Drosophila melanogaster: one gene and its partner. The protein of the gene in region 1 interacts with the protein of each later gene in a pairwise test. Each region holds a gene or a part of one and is shown on either strand. Other genes may lie near its edges. The genes, in order: CG2267 and CG31988.

Region 1 (4,331 bases):
GCCCTGCATATGCATGAACCCAGTGGCAACTCAATTAAAGCCAAGCCTTTGAACTTCAGCCAGCGACTCTTGAACTTTCCTTCGAAATCAGCGAAAATCAATGCTCAACTAGCATCGATTGTTAGTAGACCGACCACAAAATGGGGATATAACGTAAAGAGTATGCTTGCAATCCGATATCACCCCTTTCCACTAGGGTTGTAAATCTAGCGGAAATTGTCAGGGCCAGCCAATCGTGCAACCGTTATTACCTGTTGACCTCCTTCCTTCGGACTCACTGCGTCCTGGCCACTTCGCTGAATTGCATTCCGCTTCCGTCTGGGTCACGGCTCATAATTCTTTAAATTTATGAAGTGTAACCGGATCGGAGTCTGGCTCTCTTTCAACAAAGTGCGGAATGGGATTTGGTCACAGGTTTCCAATGGGGTTAAGCTTTGCATAACAAACTTCAGTTTTGCACTGTAGGCAGTAACACTGATTTAGCGAATAAAAATTAGCATTGTTTCTACAAAAACAAAAAAAAAAGTAGTAGACGCAATATGGAATGGCATACCTCGCTGAAATCGTTACAAAATTTCCAATCGAATGGCATTCAAGCCTAGAAAAGTCAAAATTTTGCCATTTTTCCCAATTTTGATGATGGTACCCCTTAAAAAAAATGCGAAAAATTTGAAAAATATGAATTTTCCCATACCGACTAAAAATTGTTATGGCTAACAAGTTATGATAATTAGCTGCACAAAACAGTAGTTATTTTAGCTGTGCGACCAATTTAGAGCAAGCAAAGTCATTTTACATTGGTATTCCTCTCCCAGCCCAGCCCCCGAACCCCCTTCATCGAACCACCCACCCACCTTTCCTTTATTTCCAACCTCATCGCCATCTAGATCTCATCTTGTGTCACGTGACGACACTCACCTAATTTGAGAGCAGCTCTTAATCTGCACAATGAGATAAATACCTTTTGTGGTGCAGGCGGTTAGCCGCAGAGTGCCCCGCCTTAACCCACTTGTGCCCACGCCGTGTTCTCGTAATCCGTGGGCTGTTACCGTTACCGAGGCACTTGGCACGCTCCCGAATTGCCACTTGAGGCAAATTGCCTTGGAGCAAAACTTTCGAGACTTTGGCACGAACGGAACGACTCGGCGTTTATTACCTGTCGCTGGGAGCCAAGCGTTTACTTTCCTCCCCAAAAGGTCGCTTATCTGGAGCTGTTAATGTATTAATTTGAATTCTTTATGGGGAGCGGAGCTGCATATATTCCGGCCGGTCCGAAATATGTTTGACATGGCAAATTTAGTGGAAAATTGCCGCATGTCGCAAGTATGCAAGTGAAAATGCTACGTGACTCCGTTGCAAATAAAAAGTCAACCAGCCACTGGGGGAGACAAATTGGCCAGCTTCTGCAGCTTCGGTCTGAAATTTAAAAAACAAATCACACCTACAAGCGCCCAAGACAAATTTCCAGACGGTCCCACACACACGTATGTATGTACAGTGAGAGGACGAATGTCCTGCCGGTAATGGAGTGGACTTTATTTGGGCTCCTTGTTTGCCAGCTCCACGCTCGACTGCCCGTACCTTTTGTGGCACGCTCCGGCGACGAGCGGCGCATTTGTCAGACTCTTCGTCCGGATTGGGAGGCAAAAGTGCGGATGGGCAGTGCATGTGGTATGCACTCGGAGAAAACGGCACCAGCGGATTTAGAATTTTAAATCGAAGAATTTCATTTCAAGCTAGATATTTGTATGACAACAGAAACCTATCGATTCCCTGTGCGTGTAGAGTATTTTCCCCAGTGTAGTCTACCGACAGTGGTGTGTACGCTAGTACTCCTAGCAAACACACTCATTCTACAAATGTCAACCGTTGTTGGTTTAACTCACATGCCTTTCCAATTCCATTCCATTCCTTTAACCTACACATCACACAACAAATAAATTCCTGAACATAAAGATCATTTTTGATACCTGAAATTTCCACACGAAATTTCTACACGAAATTTTCTGAACATGGCCGGAGAAACAGAGCAGCTAACGTTGCTTAGTGAACTGAACAATATTGGAGGTGGCGAGTTCGAGTCGGGATACTGCCTGAATGAGAAACCTATTCTGCCGCCAGTGGTTGGTGATTATCTTTTGAGATAGCATATGAACTGTATTATATATCCCTAATAGATGACTGACTGGAAGAGACTGGAAATGATGCGACTGCGCTTGTGCGCCTTAACCAAGGAGGTGGTCCAGAAGAGGAACCAGATTACAAATCCTGAACGGAGGGATGCATCTACCAATACAAAATCGCAACAAGGATTTGGTTGTCCGGTCATAATGGGACGCTTCCGCCAGAGATTACAGCAATCGGAGACAATGATCTATGATCACACAGCCGAGATGACCATGCAGATTTCTGCTCCGCCTAGCATGCCAATTGGGATGACTTCTCAGCTGGTAATGGAGGATGCTTCTCTGACTCCGCCGCAAAGAGTTGTTGTCACGCTGACACCCGTGAAGTTGGCCACAGCAGAGAGTGTTTGGGTGACCAAGTTGGATCCACCGAAGGCGGAGAAACCCAAGCCAACGGAGAATGTCCTGGAACCACTTCATCGGAGCTCTACCAGTCCTGATCTTTCGAAGCTTCATCACCAACTGTGGCGAAGAGATCTGATGCAGATTCCCAAGTCACAGTTTACTTTGCCTATAAAATGTGAGCCACAAAGTGTACAAGGTATCGAGCAGCAGCAACCCAATAAGCTTACGACAATCAGGAGTCCCAGTCGAATCCCGAAACTGATTACCAGCCATGTGGCCAACAGTGCCAGTGTCACCAAAACCCAGAGTGCCTACCAGGCCCGACGCACCTATGACGCCAAAGTGGCTGCCAAGCGAAAAATTCTGGTGAGCAGGGGCCAGATTTCCTCAGTCAAACAGAAACCTCTGCCTGATACCAGCCACTTGAATGTGCCGAAAAGCATCAGGACTCCAGTGCCGGTCTATAAAAGACCAGGATATGTGCAGGACGAAGAGCAAATTCAAAAGAATCGCTTCAAGTCCTTGATTCTTCGCCAGGCGGAGGAAAACAGGCGTATCCAAGACAAAATGCAACAGGAGCACCAGGGTCTCATCGCTACCATGATGAACGATCTCAACAACGCCGTCGAGATCTCGAACGATTATAAGTCCTTGGAGAAGGCATTGCACCTGGACTCCAGCACCTCCAGCGATCCCAGCCAGAACTGATCAGACAATACAGAGATGCGCTTTCAAAATTGTTAAACGTTCACCCGGGAACGGAATAGGACGATAGCAGTGAATAAGAGGAACGGACGGCAAAACATAATACCCAATAATCCGCCACGAATTTTCCATTCGGTGGCCTCTTTAATTGGAATTGAAAATTCTTGATTGGAACATTTTGAATTGAAGCAGCAATCAAATCGACTTTTCAACTCGCGCAAGAACTGTATTTTCCCGTGGGGGTGCGACAAATCAGTTTGTATTGCAGTGTATATATTCAGAGGATTATCCAAAGTCCATAATGTTCTCCGCCTTTTCAATTTCAGCACTGTGTTGGAAAAAATTGTAATAATTATCTATTATCTGTATAGTTTCGTGTGTTATTTAATGGTCATCAAAGCGGCGTAATTTTATATAAGCTATTTAAATCGCATGTTCCAGTTTGGCATTGGCGAATTTTCCGAACGTGAGACGACAATCCGACTTGTGGCATAATCCGCGAGTCGGTCGGGCACCAAAAATATACAGCGTCTCTAATTGCGCCCAACGTCTGCGGTTGATGCCACACAAGTTGCACCGCAGTTTGTCCCACTCCCGGAGGTTTGGCCACCTGCCCGCGCTCGTCTCACATTGATGTCTCTATATGAAAGTCAGTCCCCCTGAGCCATTTCCCATTTTCCTGGCGAATTCGCTTGGCCCGTTTCACTTGGCGCGCCCATAACTCGGCGTGTTATTAAGTGTAAAAATTAAAATTTCATAAATTGTTATGCTTTATTTAGAGTGCGCCGAGCAGTTCCTCCGGCTCCCCAACTGCCAAGTTTCCTGTTCCACTGCAATGGCAATGTGTGTGGTTCTGTGTGATTTGCGCGCTTCGGAAGCTGGCGATATTGAGACTTAAGTGGACATAATTAAAAGCACTTAAGAGTCGCCACAGATACAGATCGCACCGACTGAGATATAGACGTGGTCCATGAGGATGAGTGAGGGCAGAATGGCGAAAATCGCATTGGATGACGGCCAAATTTGTCAGATAGTGGAAAGATCGCAGACGGTGTCTAGATTAGTGGCCATATTAAAGAGCTTTGTCTTTCCTTT
Region 2 (3,963 bases), on another chromosome or scaffold:
AGAGTATTATTGCTCCCAAGATCTCAACGTTCAATCGGTCATAAAGACGGCGGTGTCCAGATCGATTCGTCTAGTGATCCTTATTACAAGTGTCGTTTCATAAATTATTTGTGCTTTAACACAATCCAAGGAACTGCCAAAATTATGCAGCTAATTTAAAAGCTATAACCGGAGTTGCCCAAATTACCCATTAACTCACGTATTGTTTATCTCCACAAAAGCAACATATTCTAGTCACAAAATCTTCTGACTACTAACGGCATTATGAACTAGGTGCCATTTTTGTGGATTTTTTCGGCTCATTCCTCTTTTGGCCTAATCTAATCTTGCGACTAATTAAATGTACTCACACGAATAAAACCACCCGAGTGCAGTTGAGAAACCCAAATAAATTATTGTGGGTCATGCAAGAGCGTTTGCAATTACGAGTTGGCTTGAAGGACATATTTATGTGGCCCCAAAGGAGCAACTCTTTGAACTTGTCCCACAAACGTGCCAAAATATAATGTTGCGCCACTCTGCGCAATTAGAAAGTGCGCGAACTGGATGCAATTATCGGTTAAACATGGGAAATTCTTAGTAGTACTCAATATAAATAATTACGAGCAGCTCAACCTATATTCGGGGCTGGGAATTTGGATCTGTATTTGGATGAGGATGTGGATGGCATACGAGCACTCTTTGGCATACGCAGACAGACGCCTGACACAAATTCCCATCCGACTTACACAACTAGCTCGCCCGTCCGACTGGTGCTGCAATTTCAAATTCCATGCACCGCATCAAAGCGCAAACCAAATTGTGACATGTCCTCCGCCGATGACTCCCGAGCGCCACCAGGAGCTCCACACCCCCACCCCCGTTGCGTAGCGACCGCACACATTGCTGTGCTCCACCGAGTGGCCTTCAATAGGGAACAAAAGATGTTCCACAGGCACACGAAAAAACTTATACTTAAGTTATACAATAGTTCAGGGTTTGTGGGTAATTACTCCACGATATATTATTCAATAATTCTCTAAATCATTTTGAATAAGTTAATACAGACCTACTCAGCTCACACTTTTAAAAAAACTCATACAGAAACACGAAAGTAGCTAAGACTGTATAGAATACTTTCAATTTTATTACACAAGTTACTCGTAGAGTAAAAGGGTATACTAGACTCGTTGAAAAGTATGTAACAGGCAGAAGGAAGCGTTTCCAACCTTACAAAGTATATATATTCTTGATCAAAATCAATAGTGGAGTCGATGTAGCCATGTCCGTCTGTACGTATGAACGTCGAGATCTCAGGAACTATAAATGATAGAAGGATGAGATTCAGCACACAGATTTAAGAGACAAGTTTTTGGCCCATGTTGCCACGCCCATTCTAACGCCTACATACCGCACAAAACTGTCACTCCCACACTTTTGAAAAACGTGTTGATATTTTTTCATTTTTTATATTTTTATTTTCTATCAATTTGCATAAAAACTTTTTGCCACGCCCACATTTTTGAGAAACCTTTCGATATAATATTTTCATATTTCGACTTGCCAAACAACTTGTTTCTCTTGTTTTTTTAATAATTGGATGTTTTAGTAATATTTCTTTCAGCGAATTCATTTTTTCGAAGTGCATGATCCACGATGAAAGAGGCAACGACGACCCTTCTGGCGAGTCGTTTGGGTGGATGAGTCCTTTAAAGGAGTAGCCACCACCCCAGCCCTTGTTAATTGCCGGCTATGCGGAAGTTTCGCAGGATTTTTGCTTTAATTAAATTTTGTATAATAAATTGGGAAACATTCTAGCAGCGCCTTCAAGGAAATGCCGCCCCTTTGCTTGGAGAAATCACCCTTGAAAGTGGAAGACCTCCCTTATTATTATCCTTTTACCCATTTATTAATGGTTTTTGGTGTGACTAATTCTTATACTCGAATATGTATAAGTGACTAAAGTATGTTTATAACTTTCGGTAAGGAGATAAAATTATGTTAAAGAAATCACAAGCATATTGCCATCTATTTAGGCAATTAACCTTTTGATACAAATTTAAACAGTAGTCACAGTAACATAGAAAGCCTAGAAAGGAAAATCAAATACTTTACAGTCCAGTAGGCGATGCTTGTACATTTTCTAGATGTCAAAACATACCCCCAGCGTTTCCATCGAATATCTCATTCAGTTTTTGAGTCTTGCTAAATTCATACGTTTTCATTCGTTTCGTTTTCTATAGTTATTTGAATAAAAACATCAAAATTTTTCAAAAAAAAAAAAAAACAGTATCAAAATTTTGTCCAAGTCCGTATTGCTTCTTTTTGTTCTCCCATTTTGTGTGAACCATCTAGAAGAAAGTAAAGTAAAAACGGTGGCCCTGTGAAAATTGTTTTGATATATGAGAAGAGTACGATAACGAATTCAGAAAAAAACATTGCGAAAAGAAAGAGGAAGTAGTGAAACAGGCGCCAAACCCAGTAAGAAATACATCCCATCTTGAAATTAGTACAGAATTATAATTTCTCTCATTGATATTTGCGTTGCCTATCCAGCTTTCATTGTTTCTTTCAATAAATCGATAATCAATAGCAACCCTGTTTTGTACATGCGTATTAACAAACACATTTTTTTTTTGCAGTTACCAATCGAGAAGCCAAAATGACTGAGAGCATTGTGTGTCACAAGTGCCAGGAGGCCATCACCAAGCGTATGATCACCGCCCTGGGCAAGACGTGGCACCCGGAGCACTTCCTGTGCCACCACTGCGATGAGCAGATCCTGGATGCCACCTTCAATGTTCAGAGCGGAGAACCAGTGTGCAACAAGTGCTTCGTGGAGCGGTACACCTACACCTGTGCCGGCTGCAAGAAGCCGATCCTTGAAAAAACCATCTGCGCCATGGGGGAGAGCTGGCACGAAGATTGCTTTTGCTGCGGCGGTGCCTGCAAAAAGCCGCTCGCCAATCAAACGTTCTATGAGCGCGACGGCAAGCCCTATTGCAAAAAGGATTACGAGGACCTCTTTGCTGCCAGGTGCGCCAAGTGCGAGAAGCCTATAACGGACTCAGCGGTGCTCGCCATGAACGTGAAGTGGCATCGCGATTGCTTCCGGTGCAACAAGTGCGAGAATCCTATAACCTCGCAGACTTTCACCATCGACGGGGACAAGCCCGTGTGCCCCGCCTGCAATTGCTAACATCGTCCCGGATAACCATGGTGCATCCTTGCTCTTCCTCCAAATTGTTCATTTGCTTGCTTACAATAATGTTGAAATAGTTCCCGAAGCTTAGTAAGCCTAGAGGCATGCAAGAAAACAGACTTACACATTTAACACACAAACTTAATACACACACAAACACTAAATAAAAATAAAAAACAAATATGTTAAGTCTCTGTATTGGGGTAGACAGGTATACCCTAAGATTTGCCTTAGTGGTGTTGGTCACCCAAAATAACATTCTGATTACTGTGAGATAAGGTCGAGCAAGCCCTTTCCAATATGTTGCAGCCTTTCGTTAAATAACAAGCTTTTGGCAGCACTTTAAATAATGAATTATTTAATTTTAAAAACAAAAATTGAAGAGCTTTAAAAAATCTTTCCGTTAAGATCGCAGTACAACTGCCTTATCGATTCTTCTCGATATGAAGTGGTGGCCGTCTCTTGGCGTAGTCACGAATCGGTTACGCAGATGTGTAATCTAGATAAATATGGAATTAATACAAAAAAATTAAGAACAAGATAGAATTTTACATACGAGTTCCCCGACTATCAGATAACGGTTACTCAGCTGGTGTGAATGCAAAAGCGAAATTTAATAATTTTTCTGGGATATCGATAGAAAAAAATGAGTAAAAATTGTTTAAAAATGTGGGCGTTACTGTTTTGGGAGTTTTTAAGGTGAAAGGAGTGGCGTGTCCACAGTGCTTTTGGTATACATATAAAAATTGCCAAGACAAACAATAAAACGAAGAAAAATCTAA

The links.
Region 2: the proteins of CG2267 (region 1) and CG31988 interact in a two-hybrid assay, tested with the Drosophila melanogaster proteins (one large-scale study listed by BioGRID).

The regions. Positions count from the first base shown.
Region 1 is NT_033777.3:30,626,513-30,630,843, reverse strand, and holds CG2267 (uncharacterized protein), read left to right. Parts: upstream 1-1,815; 5' UTR 1,816-2,012; coding exon 2,013-2,123; intron 2,124-2,177; coding exon 2,178-3,239; 3' UTR 3,240-3,603; downstream 3,604-4,331.
Region 2 is NT_033779.5:21,200,931-21,204,893, reverse strand, and holds CG31988 (uncharacterized protein), read left to right. Parts: upstream 1-2,091; 5' UTR 2,092-2,460; intron 2,461-2,621; 5' UTR 2,622-2,641; coding exon 2,642-3,178; 3' UTR 3,179-3,401; downstream 3,402-3,963.